Linked DNA regions of Danio rerio. The protein of the gene in region 1 interacts with the protein of each later gene in a biochemical or structural test. Links are inferred from orthologs where the notes say so. Each region holds a gene or a part of one and is shown in the gene's direction. Other genes may lie near its edges.

Evidence for each region. The genes of interacting proteins can lie anywhere in the genome.
Region 2: the proteins of usp8 (region 1) and stam2 form a complex in vitro, tested with the Homo sapiens proteins (3 studies listed by BioGRID, with this or other methods). The link is inferred for Danio rerio from reciprocal best matches to the Homo sapiens genes USP8 and STAM2.

The regions. Positions count from the first base shown.
Region 1 is NC_133193.1:226,387-229,859, forward strand, and holds part of usp8 (ubiquitin carboxyl-terminal hydrolase 8), read left to right. Parts: coding exon 1-59; intron 60-137; coding exon 138-418; intron 419-635; coding exon 636-857; intron 858-956; coding exon 957-1,167; intron 1,168-1,710; coding exon 1,711-1,947; intron 1,948-2,147; coding exon 2,148-2,290; intron 2,291-2,373; coding exon 2,374-2,506; intron 2,507-3,473. UniProt on the Homo sapiens protein: Hydrolase that can remove conjugated ubiquitin from proteins and therefore plays an important regulatory role at the level of protein turnover by preventing degradation. Converts both 'Lys-48' an 'Lys-63'-linked ubiquitin chains.
Region 2 is NC_133184.1:39,754,221-39,759,047, forward strand, and holds the start of stam2 (signal transducing adapter molecule 2), read left to right. Parts: upstream 1-1,881; 5' UTR 1,882-2,006; coding exon 2,007-2,046; intron 2,047-4,585; coding exon 4,586-4,670; intron 4,671-4,827. Other genes in the region: hacd2 (very-long-chain (3R)-3-hydroxyacyl-CoA dehydratase 2), read right to left, coding at 1,258-1,382.

The DNA.
Region 1 (3,473 bases):
GAGCACACAGTGAGGAGATGGGCAGGACAGTCCCGGGGCTGCCTGATGGCTGGATGAAGGTAAGAGGTCAGAGGTCAGCCGCTGCTCTGTGGTGATGTTCAGAGCTGATACTGACTCCCGTCTGCTCCTCTGTGCAGTTTCTGGACACGGTGACGGGCACCTACAGATATTACCACTCTCCCACCAACCGCGTGCACCTGTACCCTCCTGAAGTCAGCACACCGCAGACGCCAGCCAAACACACACCGCCCGCGCAGCCGGCAGCAGACACGGAGACGGAGAAGCAGCGGCAGCGGGACCGAGAGAGAGAACAGTCCAAACTCAAGCGCTCATACTCCTCTCCAGACATCAGCCAGGAGCTCAGCGCAGAGACCAGACAGAGACCCGCTGCAGTGCCCAGCATCAACAGAGAGAACAAGTATACACACTCACACACACACACACACTCACAAGATTATAATAGCATGACCTTCTGTAATGTACATCTAATAATATCAGTAAATGATTGAGATCTACATGAATAATCACATTATCGTTATTATATGATGATCACTTTATAAACAAGTGTGTTACTGTGCAGTGTTTTCTCCATGAATGTGCCGTGCTAAAAGTGTGTGTGTGTGTGTGTGTCGCAGGCCTCTAGCTGCCAGCACATATGCGAAGGTGGAGATCACGCGTCCGTCTGCAGCAAAGATCCGCAACCTGAACCCAGTGTTTGGAGGCCAGGGGCCGCTGCTGACGGGCCTCCGCAACCTGGGGAACACCTGCTACATGAACTCCATCCTGCAGTGCCTGTGCAACACCGTGGCCATGGCGGACTACTTCAACAGGAACTACTATCAGGACGACATTAACCGGTACCACATTCACCACAGCCCAACAAACACTCGCATTCACTGTCGATCTAGGGCAGAGCCAGTGTGTGTGTAATGGTTTACCTTGCGTGCTGGTTTCAGGGCGAATATCCTGGGTCATAAGGGCGAGGTGGCGGAGGAGTTCAGCGTGGTGATGAAGGCGCTGTGGTTGGGTCAGTATAAGATGATCAGCCCGCTGGACTTTAAGGGCACCATCTGTAAGATCAACAGCCGCTTCTCCAGCTACGAGCACCAGGACTCTCAGGAGCTGCTGCTCTTCCTGATGGACGGCCTGCATGAGGATCTCAACAAGGTCACACACACACACACACACACACACAGTCCTGCTGTATGTCCGTTTACAGCCAAAAAAAGGCGTCGCTTCATATTTTGTTCTCGCACTCTGATTGGTTGCTGAATAGCCAATCAGAACACTCTGATGAATGAATGTGGTCCTCTGTTAACCCAATGAGAGGAACACACCAAACACACTAGACAGACCATCATCCATTCATTTCCTTTTCGGCTTAGTCCCTTTATTTATCAGTGGTCGCCACAGCCACCAGTACTGGGAAACACCCATTACACACACACACACTTTAGTTCAATTCCCCTATTCCCTATATATGTGTTTAGACTGTGGGGGAAACCGGAGCACCCGGAGGAAACCCACGCCAACACTGGGAGAACATGCAAACTCCACACAGAAACACCAACTGACCCAGCCGAGACTCAAACCAGAGACCTTCTTGCTTTGAGGCGATTGTGCTACCCACTGCGCCACCATGATGCCTTGCCACACAATCAATTTAATGTAAACTAACCGACACACTCTCGCTCTGCTTGTCTTCATCAGGCGGACAAGCGCAGGGGCTATAAGGAGGAGGAGATCGAGCATCTGGACGACGTGAGCGCGGCGGATCTGGCCTGGTCCAAACACAAGCAGCTGAACGAGTCCATCATCGTGGCTCTGTTTCAGGGCCAGTTCAAGTCCACGGTTCAGTGCATGAGCTGCCAGCACAAATCACGCACCTTCGAGACCTTCATGTACCTGACGCTGGAGATGACGGCCAGCAGCAAGTGCTCTCTGCAGGTCACACACACACACACTCGTTTCCCTCTTTCAAAAGTTGAGCTAACTAAAATATTCTAGTTTGGAGGATGACGTTCACTGCAGCTTCATTACCCTCATCTGTAGATATTTGTTTGACTGTGATGTCAGTATTCAGTCATCAGCAAAAATCATTCTGCTGATCGTCCAGTGTGTGTGTGTGTGTGCGTGTGTGTGCACAGGACTGTCTGAAACTGTTTCATAAAGAAGAGCGTCTGACTGACGGTAACCGCTTCTACTGCCGCCACTGTAAGACCCACCGCGACGCCATCAAGAGGATGCAGATCTGGAAGCTGCCGCCCATATTACTGGTGCACCTGAAGCGGTGAGTGTCTGCTCTCTCCTCTGCTTCAGTGTGTCAGAAAACATCATGTTCACAATGTGTGTGTGTGTGTGTGTGTTTCTCAGGTTTAAATATGAGGGCCGCTGGCGGGAGAAGCTGCAGACGCTGGTGGATTTCCCTCTGGATAATCTGGACCTGTCGCAGTACGTCATCGGACCCAAAAACAACCTGAAGAAGTACAACCTGTACGCCGTGTCTGTGAGTATCAGAACTCTGGATCCACTTGAACATGAGGACTCAGATCAGTCGAGATCAGTGTTTCTGCAATCTGACTGTGTTTAGGGAAGTTCAGTGGAGTTTTCTGTTCATTTCTCCTCTGATTGCTAGCAAAAACTTGCTTGATTTAAAACATTATGCAAATGAACAGAAATTGGTTGCGCAAAAACAAAAAAACAACATCCAACACATGCTCCGCTCATCTCATGCCACGATTTCAAGGATAAAGAGTCTGTGAATGCTGCTTTGAATAGAATAAAATGATTAAAAGCACATTAAACACACATAAATTAAGCCTTTATTTAACTAAAAAGTAACACTGAACTGCTCAGCACGCTCAAGTTAAACTAAAATGCACAACACTTGTGCCCAATGAAACTAACGTGGTGTGTTCTTTTAAATCAATGTTCATGAAGTATGTGAACCGACCGCAAATGCCTCGCCATGTGTGTCACCTGCTTTTATAACATATTAGTTTATTACAATAATTAGACTTATCTTTGCCATCGGTCTTTATCACATGCAGCCACTTTTAAACACATCCTGCGGTCCATCTCTACACAAATGTTTGGATTATTGTTGAAGGTGTTTGCCAGCACAGAAGTTCCTGGCAGAGTAGCGAGTGATAAATGTGCAGGAATCAGACAAGAGGAATATAAATTTACATTGTAGAACACATATCTGATTCTTATTCTAAGTATCTAATACTCGCCCAGTTTTATTACTTTTTTATTTTATTACAATTTGTGTTTTAGGTTTGTGGCTGTGAAGTTCAATAAGAATACACACACACACACACACGCACACATGCGCATATACATACACACATACACATACATACACACACACGCACACATACACATTCATATACACACACACACACACACACACACGCACACATACACATATACATACACACACAAACACACACACGCACACATTCACATAT
Region 2 (4,827 bases), on another chromosome or scaffold:
CTAAAAGAAGTGATTTTAACTAATTGTTTTGATACTTTCTTTAATAGAAATCCAGATGTATTGATTATTTTAAGGCAAAGTATACTCAGGAAGTATGTTTTATGCTTCACATTCAACATAAATGTGCTCAATATGTAAGATTTATCAACATTTACATTATGCTCATGTCAAAAAACCAGATAAGGGATTTAGAAACAAATCGACTGTATTGAATTGAAAAGTTGCCGAATTGGACATTATTATGCAACAGTTTCTGGTCAAAAAAAAACTAAAAAAAACTAAAAAAAAAAAAAAAGTGATTTTAATAAATAATTTGGATAATTTTATTAAAATTAATTATGTTTTTTCGATTTATTTAAGGCAAAACATACTCAGGAAGTAGGTTTTATGCTTCACATTCGCAATAAAAGTGCTCAAAATGTAAGGTTTATCAATATTTACATTATGCTCATGTCAAAGAAACATGAGTGATTTAGAAATAAATCGGCTGTATAAAATCATTATAATGCAACAGAATCTGGTCAAATAAAAACTAAAAGAAGTGATTTTAACAAATGATTTGGATAATTTTATTAATAGAAATCCATTATTTTTTTTTTTTTATTTAAGGCAAAGTATAGTCACAAAGTATATCCAATGCTTCACATTCGCCATGAATTTGCTAAATAAGCTTTACATTACATATGCTCATGTAAAAAACAACGATGAGTGATTTAGAAACGAATCGGCTGTCTCGAATCGAATCGATTAGTTCCTGAAACGGACATTATTGTGCAACAGTTTCTGGGTTACTAGGTCTAAGGTGCGCTTAATTCACTGCCTAGTCTAATGTCTACAAACTATACAAGGCTACATTCAAACTAACAAAGACACTAAATTCACTACAAGCCCTGTTACAACGCTGCCCAAACAAACCAGCGACTGTAAAACAAGAACAATGCATTCATGCAACAACAACCAATGCTCGCTGTCACCCATCACCAACCCTACGGCGAGTTAAATAAGCGATAATAGGCTTTACGTTACACCGCATTTGGATTGCACAGCAGACATGTGCAGAATAACTTTGTTGAAATGTTTCAGCTTTCAAATTAAACAGTGTTAAATAATACAATATAGACTCAATGGGGGAGGTGACCGCGATTCTGTCATACAGGCTGAAGAAATCCAACCATTCATTTCTGCTGTCACACACACACACACACACACACACGCTTGAAGAGAGAAGCACGGAAGCGCATTTGATTTCCACCATACCCTGCTGTCATAATCACGTTGTAAATGACCAGATATGCTGTGGCCAGTGTTCCGGGGCCCTTTTTCTTCTTGTGACCGGACTCACTGTGCGCTGTTTTGCTGGTCCCCATGGCAGGTGCCGACATGACTGAACTATCATTAGAAAGACTGGATCATCCAATGGTCCCGGTGGATAAAGGCGTGTGGCCTTGCTGACATGTAAAAAAGCTGCTTATGAATCCAGCGCCCTCTGGTGAGGACAGAGTGTAAACAATGCTTTGTTTTTTCAGTTACAGACTAGCGTCGTCTTTTTCGCAAGCATTTACATCAAATACAACTAAAATAATATGATTACAGTAATGTATGTGAATATATTGAGATTATTTAAAGTGAATTATGATGTTCTAGAAACATCTAAACTAGCCGCTAGATGGCAGTGCGAGTCTTGAAGTCAGAGCGCACTTCTGACTCAACCTATGCGCCTGTCTGAAATATAAACATATATATTTTTAAATATGCACAAGTATAATAATTTACTGGTTAAATTTTGAGTATTAATATAATTTGTGAACATGCTGCTTTAAATGTAGAATATGTTGACAGTTTCCTGGATGTATTTTCTGGCAGGCATTGCGCTCGTCTACTAAGTTTACGGAAGAGCAACTGGTGGAAGTGAACGCAATTTAATGGATGAGAGAAGGATAAATCGTCGATCTACGTAGATAATACGCTTCAGTTTTTTTCTTTGACACATAGGAAAAGGTTACAAAATGCCGTTGTTTGGTCAAAACCCGTTCGATCAGGATGTGGGTGAGTTTGGCAGTGTTGTTTTTGTCGAAGTGATGTGGTCTTGACAAGTCAGTAACTAAGGGCCGATCCAGCAGCGCTCCGTTCACTGCAAGATCCTCAAGAGCTCTGTTATTGTTTTGTTTATCGGTCATTCATAACTTATTTATCAAAATCTAACTATTAAAGCTGTCAAATGTAAAATAGATAACTGACAGTGTCTTTGGGATGTTGTTTTGAATTTCAAGAACTTTTTAGATGAACACTAAATGCTGAAATTATTCTTTTTTCCATCAAAATTTCTTTTATTTTGAATTATGTCAACACAATAAACATGACGTAGATGACAGCATAGCAGTGTGCATAAGAAAATACATTTAATAATCAAAATATAGGAATACAGGTTTTTGAATAATATTAATATTTGTAATAAGGGCAACAACAATAATAGTGACAATAAGAATAAAAAACTGAAGAATAAACGACAAAGACATACTAAAACAAATGATAATTATAAATATATACACACACACACACACACATATATATATGTACCGGTCAAGTGTTTGAGGTCAGTTTTTATTAAATTCTTCATTTTTTTAGTTAATATTGTATGTAGTTTCAAATGAAATTATTACTCCGTTCATTAATGCTTTTATTACTTTTTTCATTAATTATAAAAAAATAATAATCATAATAATTAATATTAGAGAGATTTCTCATGTGACTCTGAAGTAATGAAGCTGAAAAAGCATCTTTAAAATCACTGGAATTAATGAATAAATTAAATTATAAAGTACTTTTGAACAGTTATTTTATAGTGCAATACCATTTTACAATTGTACAGTTTGTCCTGTAATAAAGGCAAAAAATAAAGGCAGCCTTAGTGAGCAGGAGAAGCTTATTTTAATACACACACACACACACACACACACACACACACGTATATATATATATATATATATATATATATATATATATATATATATATATATATATATATATATATATATTATATTATAATTATTATTACTATTAGGCCAGCTCAAAGTAAATAATTAAAAGAATAGTAATAAACAAATAGATTAAGATATTCGAAAACATACTGATAGAAGTCTACGGCAATGAAGTAAAGTTAGTAAAAGCCCAAACAGGGAACCTTAAACAACTACACCAAAACCATAAGTTTTTTTGTTTTTGGATGTCTCCTTGATTCAAATTATATTGAAATTGTTTTTAAATTTATTTTATTGCTTGATTACTGACAAAAATATTTTTTAAATATATATTTTTGTGGCAGGGTCTTCAGTACGAAATATGAAAATTCTTTAATGCTCCAATAAGTCATATAAAAAAGTAATAATAATTTAATAATAATAATTTATTAATATTTAATAATTTAATAATAATAATAGTTGTAATAATACTTTCTTTATATGCTTTGATTTTATTATTCTGGATGTTTACGATAATATTATTTATTATTATTTAGTGTAAAATAATAAATTAATCTAGTTAAAAATAATATAATAAAACATAATTGTGTATTTTTAATAATAATTCATGCTGATTTTAAGATCAAAACGTTCATTTTTAATTAAAAAACGTTTTTATTTTATGTTTTATTTTATTTATTTATATTTATTTTTAATTTCTAGTAAGCTTAAGATTCAGGTATTTATTCTGTATGTTATATTAAAATATTGTTTCATATAATTTAGTATAAAATAATAACAAATAACTGTAATTAAAACAATGTAATTATAACAAATAATAATGTATTACTATGCTGATACTTATGATCAAAATGTCCTGTTTTAAAAGTTTCTGATTTAAAAAAAAAAACGTTTTATTTTATGTTTTATTTGATTTATTTATATTTTTTATTTCTTGTAAGCATGAATGGGTGGAAGATTAATAGGAGCTCAGTTGTCAAAAGGCGTGGAACCTAACAGCACACAATAGCATGATCTTTGGTTTTATTTTCAAAGCTTTGTCCTTTTAGAATTCAGTTTATATAAACGTGTGAAACTGTATGTTCCTTTATGGAGGAAATTAAGGCATATTATTATTGTTCATTTTATTTATTTATTCATGAATATGTACTTTTCTAGATGTTGCAATTCAAGACGTCGTTGTTACGAGTAAGAATTAGTCATAAAAATGTGCCCAGTTGCTTTGTTCTTAAAGGAGGGGGCAAATAATTTCTGCTGGTGGATTATGACAGAAACTGTTGTGCCTGTTGTGACAAGCTGTAAATGTAAAATAACAGGCAAAACAGGCTGTCACTGCTTAACGGTATGCATATCTTATTTTCAATAAACCTATCCTTCGAACTCAGGGATGCAAAACTGATAACTAAAACTAAAAGATTTTCTTTTTAAAATTGTGGTTTTTATTAGTTTTAGTTTTTTAGTGTTTTGTTAACAGCATTTATGGTAAATGAGAAGACATTTCCTCCTGCTGGTTTAGACGTTTGTCAAACACTTATCAGTTTTTTTGATATGGTTCTAGAATGACCTTGCGTTAAGAGTCTCATTTGAATGCTCATTTGTATTTTCAGAGAAAGCAACTAGTGAAACCAACACAGTGGAGGACTGGGGCCTCATTATGGATATCTGTGACCGTGTCGGGACAGCTCCAAATGGGTGAGCTGAAAAATCAACACGCAAACAATATATGAATAGTTTTTCTAAATTCTAATTTTATTACCAGGTAGTTACCTTAATGTCACTAGTATATAGGGATGCACCGATCCTGATATTTGGATCAGATATCGGTTCGATAAAGAGCCATTTGAGGAGA